2 linked regions of the Schizosaccharomyces pombe genome follow. Changing the gene in region 2 together with the main gene of any one other region gives a genetic interaction. Each region holds a gene or a part of one and is shown on either strand. Other genes may lie near its edges.

The links.
Region 1: of rtn1 (region 2) and yop1, changing one enhances a phenotype caused by changing the other (phenotypic enhancement), as found in Schizosaccharomyces pombe (one study listed by BioGRID).

The regions. Positions count from the first base shown.
Region 1 is NC_003421.2:2,195,183-2,198,933, forward strand, and holds yop1 (ER membrane protein DP1/Yop1), read right to left. Parts: upstream 2,019-3,751; 5' UTR 1,931-2,018; coding exon 1,880-1,930; intron 1,747-1,879; coding exon 1,464-1,746; intron 1,341-1,463; coding exon 1,126-1,340; 3' UTR 611-1,125; downstream 1-610. UniProt on the Schizosaccharomyces pombe protein: Required to generate and maintain the structure of the tubular endoplasmic reticulum network and the vacuole. Induces high curvature in membranes and causes membrane tubule formation. Involved in membrane/vesicle trafficking.
Region 2 is NC_003423.3:1,261,923-1,265,680, reverse strand, and holds rtn1 (reticulon Rtn1), read left to right. Parts: upstream 1-2,076; coding exon 2,077-3,003; 3' UTR 3,004-3,383; downstream 3,384-3,758. UniProt on the Schizosaccharomyces pombe protein: Required for the correct positioning of the cellular division plane by delimiting the actomyosin ring assembly at the cell equator. Overexpression causes cell lysis.

The DNA.
Region 1 (3,751 bases), on a different chromosome or scaffold from region 2:
ATATAAATCGTTATGGTGGAATCAAAAAAACGAGAAAAATGAAGAGAAATAAATAGAAACGAAAAATCAAACAAAAGCGAAGCTTTTTCGGTTTATTTGTTCTCGAATAAACGAAATGAAAGTTTTATTTTTCCACTTTTCTTGTGTTATAACTCCTTTATATATATTTCGTAAGAAAACCTTACAATTCAAATTGTACAATGTTCCTGAATTTTCAAGAAAAATAGTACCAAAGTAGTGTATGTAAAGTCAATAAGAAATACTATTCTTTCGACCAAATATTAATGGAATGTAAACGTTGCAATACACTCTAAATATCGTTTGGAAACGAAACAAAATGTGTGAAGACAGTAGATGTTTTTGTACCCGCTGGGACGGACCATATACCATGGCATGATGTAATGCTAGAAACTTCGAGTATAAGCGAGAAACTGATGTGGTTTAACGAAGTTTCTTAAATGCACAATGTAAAGTGGTAGAGTTCATTATTGTGTTTAACGACGCTATAATGGGTTAACTGTTTATTGAAAGACGTATTGTATGTATTTGTACAAAATATAAATTGATTGCGATATTTTTATATTACAATTCTACAAAGCGGCAGTTACTTTGAGATAGTACTTTGTTATTAATCTTCAGAATTTTTTTCAGCAATTTCGAATATGGGTATATCATTGTAAGTATACTGTAGTCTGGTTATTGCTTTTGGGATGTGTGTGTAAGTTACTATAGTTGCCATAAAATAAATGTCTATTGCAATTTCGGTACTGTGGTAAAGCATGCAGCCTTATAATTTTGTACTGCTCAAAAAGACTACGCGATATACATATAGTATAAACCCTTCAACATTGCCGAGGTCCATGCCGAAAGCGGCATATAAAAGGCCAAATTTTTTTAAATTTTTGACAGTCAATAAAAATAATCAGAACTAGAGGAAAGAGATTCAGAAAGGCAAAGCTTCTGAAACACTGAATTATTTGCAATTGTCCAAAATATAGTCAATTGTGATGGGAAAAAACAAGAAAACAACGTTACCGTTGTATGATTTTCAATCATTCATCGAGTAGTATAGCATAACTATTCTATGGAATACAAGTCCATTCCAAACATTTTGTTCAGAAATCTCTAGATAGAGGGTGGAATGTCAGTAGCGGTAGTATGTGCAAAAGAAGAGGCTGTGGGCGCAGGAGCGGCATTTTGACGAGAAACGCTTTTGCAAATACGGATCACATGAGGAGTGATATAGGGACGGATCAAGTGTCTGTAGATAATGGTAGCACCGTTGAATTTAGGCAAAGCAAGCCAAATCAAGAAAATAGCCTTGAGTAACCAATACACAGCTAAAAAGGAAAATCCCCAGTTAGTAAATAAAAAAAATAAATTTAAAAGCAGAGAGCAAAATTTATTAGATCCTTAATGATCTTATAATCACGCCTCTAAATACAAAAAATTTAAACACTTACGGACATAGTAAAGGATTAGCTGAGACCAGTACTCAATAACGTTGAGGAATGAAGTTACCAAATAATAGGTCAACCATTGAGTGTCATCGGCCTTGTTAGTAGTTTCAATAGCATTGATACTAAAGAAGGCAGGCATCGCGAATGCCAGAAGGTTGGTCAGTAAAAATCCACCCCAGTTCAAGAAAAGGAACAAGGCATATATACCAGCTGCAGTAAGAAAAACATAAAGCTTGCTAACACCAAAATTTTTTTCCAAACTGTTGAGTTGAGGAAAGGCTGCCAACTGGAAAAAAAAGTTAGTAAACAAATTTGAATAGAAAGAATAATTTCTAAAATCACAAGATACTAATAATAGCCTATATTGCCGAGTGCGTAAAGCGGCTTCCATCGGATATCCTGCCTTATTGCTAACATACCCTGTTATCCAAATCTTGCATATTCTGCTTAACACGAACTTGAAAAGACATTTTGGTACTGCTTAATTAAATTATCTGAGTGTTCAATAATTTTTCTTTTGAACGAACTATTTGTCTTAGAATATGGGAGTTGTTTGCTAAAGATAAGTTTGCATTTATTCTATCGGTGGTAGTGAACAACGTCACGATTACAGGCATTCGCTTCGTACCGTCAGTGTGGTATATTAATTAGTGCATAGGAAAGTCGCAGTAAATACGATACTGTATAGTACAAATACAATCCGATTTTCAAAAGAATTGCCGTATGTATTTTCAGCCGATCAAACAGTCATCTTGTGTTTCTGTCTAAGTTTATTTACTTCATTACCAAAGCATTTAACAGTAAAAAAACCATAGCAAAAATGAGCGATTTACTTCCACAGTATGCTACGTTGTATTGTTTTAACCAAACCATGAACAACTGGACTATGCAGTTCGCTAAAGTCAAGCCCTGCAAAATATGTACGGTTGCATTATCTAAAGTTAAGGAGGACAACCGAACTTTACGGTTCTCTGATTTAAAGAATGTCTACATTACATACAAGTCTGCATAGATATATATCACTACCAACATTACTCTTTCAATTGTAATTAAATTACTACTAAATGTAAACAAGTTTTGACTTAATAAAGTAAATTTTTAATTTCTTATTAAATTTATAGTATCGGTAATTATCAAAAACTCGTGGATCGAATAAAAAAACCATCTCAAGAATAGGATGGTGTCTAACTGTTAAAAACGGCTTCTTTTATCTATTTCAAAATTAGTAAAGAATTTTCAAACTTAAGACCAAAAAGTTTTAAGCAAATGAAGAATTTCATCAGTGTAACTATGACAAAATGCTTTATCACTGCAAGAAGGCAACCAAAACGATTACCCCGTTATCCTTGCTATACAATTTGGGTATATATTTCGCATCCTCTGAAATCTCCATTTGTGAAATGATGAAACTTACCTATTTACTATTTAGATGAGCACACTCCAGGTGAAAGAACTATGCAAAAGCAGAAAGCACAGTGCCCTTTATATTCTTCTTAATGTGACTGTTTTTTTGGGGTTTTCAAGAGAAGATATCATAAAATAGCATACATAGCTGTTAATCAAGGATAAGAAGAAGTAATGTTCATCGAAAATAATTGATAGATTAGTTTATTGATATTGTTAATCATTTGAGTAATTTCTGATGTTTTCGTTATAAGGATATGGTTGCTTCTTTGACTCAGTAGGATTGTTATCTGGTTTTTAAAATCGTTACTTGAGAAAATCCCCTAATTTAAGGAATTTTTATATGTTTGTTGGGATTATAGCTGTCTTTGGCTACTGTTAACTGTTGTAATGACAATAGTTTTGGTTTATCTTTCTTACTTTAGACCTTGTAGAAGCACCGGTAAATGTCAAGCAAACTTTTCAAACTGTAAAGTGTATACAGTCTTTAACGACATAGAATTATAGCATCCGTCAACAGCTAAATAAATTATTCGTTTGTCTGTAAAAAATAAAATTGATAACGATTGCTGGAAATTTAGAATCATTGGGATATATTAAGGATGTACCTTCCCACGAAGAAAACACATTCATGAGATGTTTACTGAGACCTGCAATGATTTTTTTCATTCCAATACGTAAATGTTTATTTTTTTATGGGCAAAAGTATGCATTCGTAGATACAACTCTTTTTGGCCGTTGTCAAGCTTAACAGATGATACAATGAAAATAGTAAACAAGGTATTCCCAAAACAGACGATATCTCATTTTCCAAGAGAAAAGTATTAACTTAATAGCTCCAAGTTCATCAAATTTTTTTTTGGCGATTGAATAGTTGTATAGTTTAA
Region 2 (3,758 bases):
TTACTTTTTGCTCTTTTCGTTTCCCCTTTTTCCTCCTTCGTAATCCTTCTTTTTCGTACTGCACTCCCTTGCCTTATACATGTACCGATGCCATACTCCCATCTCATCCCATCCGATAAGCGGCAGTCGCGACCAGCTCATGCTGGTGATGGTAACGAGATTTGTCCAACAATTCATTAAACATCATACTGTGGAACAAGACCGTACAGCAGAGTGCAGTAAAGGATTTGCTAAAGGAGAGAAGAACCCGACCGTTTCAGTAGAGTAGAGTAGAGAGGAAAGAGGAAAGGATGATACATCATTACTTTGAATACGATACAACACAATTCTTTCAGTACAATGTAATTCACTTCTATGCAATGCAGTCCACTTCTATGCAATTCAGTCCAGCGCAATGCAATTCCATACATTTCATTTCAATTCATAATTTCATATACTAGCATACGATGAGATGTCCAATTTATTAAATACGTTTTCTCTTTCTCCCTCCCTTTTCACGAAAAGGCAAGAAAAGCCTTCTTGTTCATCATACGGTATGCTTGCAATTTTTAAGTGGGTGTAAATAAACAGACACACAACGCATAATGAGATGATGAAGAATTTCAATACAAACTGATTTGTACAAAAAAAATTAAATTATAAAAAGAAAATCTATTCAATTCAATTCAATTCGTGAAAAAATAAAAAAAATAAAAAATTCGAAATAAAATTACATTAAATTAATTAACGTAAACTGAAATAAATCAATTACTAAATGTAGAAAAGGTATGGTCTTATTTATTTCATCATATATATATATATATTTTTTTTTGAAATACATTTGCTTTGATTCTTAAGAAATAAATTTTTTGTCAAAAAAATTTCCAAAAAAAAAAAAAAAAAAAAAAAAGGCTTCAGAAGTTTGAATGAATTTTGTTTCTTCAAAGTTTTAATTGATTTCAATTCCTCAAATATTAAATAATTTTTTAAACAACAAATTTCTTCGTGTTTTACTCACTTGTGGATGATTCATCATTTCTCACCGTTACTATTCCTTTCCTTTTTCAATCTTTAATCCTTTCTTTATTCAGTTGTATCCTTTTCCTTTTCATCACTCTTATCCCTTTCTCCTTTACATTTTACAATCAAACTCCATACTTCGCTCTCCTTTCAACAAACTATCCTACACGAATTTATTTATCTATTTCTCACTTTTTTTTCGCCTCTTGTAGCCTTTCCTGCACTTAATCATTGTTTTCCCTTTATTTACTCTTTTTTCAATATCTCTAGCTTTTGCAAAAGTCATCCGTTTTCGCTCGTTCTTTCGTTTTTCATCCATTTTCATTGTTTCTCTATTCATTTCCTTCTTTTTCATACCATTTCACCCATCTTTTCATACCATTTAACCCATCTTTTCCCGCCCATCTTCTTCCTATTCTTCGTTTTTCTTTTACCATCCAAAATTCTCTTTCATTAGCCTGCTGTAAACCGATTATAAGCATGATCGCTATAGTCGCCGCTGACACAGACTTATTGAGCCAAGAACAACGTCATTCCATGATCAACGCTATGACTGCTATCTAACCACCAACCACCGACTTGACTTTTACCATATAAAAGCAAAGCTTTCCAACTAACAACTTTCTAACAGTTTCGTAAGTGAAACATATTGACTTTCCTCTCAACAACTCGTGAAGGTCTCTTTTTGTATTTACCCATTCTACTTTTATTTTTTCTTTCGATCAATATCTCCCTTAAAAGTTAACCCTTTTGGAACTTGGCTTTGGATTTAATACATATACATTTTATTTATCCTACAGCAAAATCCAAAAATCTTTTATTCACTTTTTTAAGTCTTTGTTACAAAGTATTTCGCTCTTCCGAAAAGTCGTCCTTTACTAGCTATTTTCTTTAGTCGGCACTTTTCAGAATTAGTTTTCTTTAAATTTTCTCTATTTTTTACTATATCTTAAAAAAAAAACACTTGCACCCTTTTTTAGTTTAAAAGGTTTCTCTTTTTTTTTAAGGCTTCTTTTGATTCTTAGTAACTGTTTTACCTTAAGTTGTTATTTTAAAATTGAATATAACACGCAAATCATGTCTGAACAACATTCATTAAACCCCTTTGAATCCGGTTCCGTCACTGCTTCCGATGTCGCCGCTGCTAAATCCGGTGCTGAGGACCTTGTAAATACTTTGACTGCTCACACCGTTCACCCTTCCACCGAATTGCCCTCTGCCACTTCATTTCCCTCTGCTCTCCCCAACTCTGAGAATCCCGTTATTCAAAACATCTCTTCTTCCTCTTCCGAGCCCCACCACACCTCTCAATCCACACCTGGCGAGACAAGCAGTCCCGTCTGCCCAGTTTCCGGCGCTCACGGAGGTGCCGACAAAAAATGCCCTGCTTTGGAGGCCGGTTGCCCTTTTACCAACACTACTAAGCAAAACGTCGATCCTGAGATCTCTAATGCTTTGTGGTCTGTGTTGACTTGGAAGAACACCTCTTGCAGTTTCTCTACCTTGATGAGTATTCTTGCTCTCGTTTATGTCCCTTCTTGGATCAATCTTCCTCGCCTCTTTTTCAGAACTTTCCGTTATGTCTTTTTGATTACCTCCATCATTGAATTCGGTGGTCTTTTCGCTTCCAACGGTAAGCGTGGTGTCTTGTCTCACTTCCGTTCCTCCTACATCACCTGCGACTCCAAGGCTCTTGATAGGATTGTCAACTCAATTGTCGACATTTTCAACGTTATGTTGATTCAATTCCAACGTATCTTGTTTGCTGAGAGCCCTATTTTGACCTTTACTGCCTCTGTTGCTGCTTTTATTGAGTTTTTCCTTAGTGGCTTCCTTTCCTACAAGTCTCTCTTTGTTTGGAATGTTTTGTTTGCCTTCATCCTTCCCAGATTGTATGTATGCAATGAGCGCTCTATCAAGCATTTGGTTGCTTCCCTTGAGAGATCTGGTGATAAACTTAAAAAGCAAGCTACTGAGACTATAAACACCACTGTTAACAAGTAAACCTCTGCGGGATAATTTGTTTGATTGTTTCTGTCAGGTTGCGCTTGATTTTTATTTGGTTCGCTTCCTCGTTTATTTTAAGGTTTCAATAGTATCTTTTGCAAAAAAATGCAAGGGTAATAACCATGGTTTTGTTTTCAACTTTGAAAATGTGTTGCTGTGTTGTGTTGCGTTTCAAAAGTGTTGTATTATGACTTGAATTAGGAGATTGAATGCGTTTTCTCAATTATTTTGCTTATGACTATGAGTGTTTATTTTCATAAATACGTCTTTCTCATCTCGATATATTGTAAATGTAACAGGTTCGGCTCAATCTCTCATTTCTCTTCTGAGTTGCAAACTATTGCAGTGTGGTTGAAGTTCTTGTTGCTTTGCTCAATATGATGCTATTTTATTATATTTTCTCTGCTTCGTTTAATACCCAACGTACTTATTATTCGTAATTTAATCTCGTAATTACTCCGTGTTGTTTTGTAGGTCCTCCTCGTATTCCTTATTGCTGCTCTTTTCGAAAAAAAAAATATATATATATATTTTCCATAACTAAAATGGGTCTGTGGACGAAAAAATCTATTTTGTTTAACCAAATGACTAAAGTATTTGTTAACCAAAAATTATTATTTTTTTTCCACTACTTCGTATTTAATACAGCCGATCATACAGTAAAGTGCTGATTACACTCGCATGATCGTTGTCTGCTCTCACCACAAGTCATTCACTTATATCAATGTTGTGCCAGCTTTTTACGTTTAAGC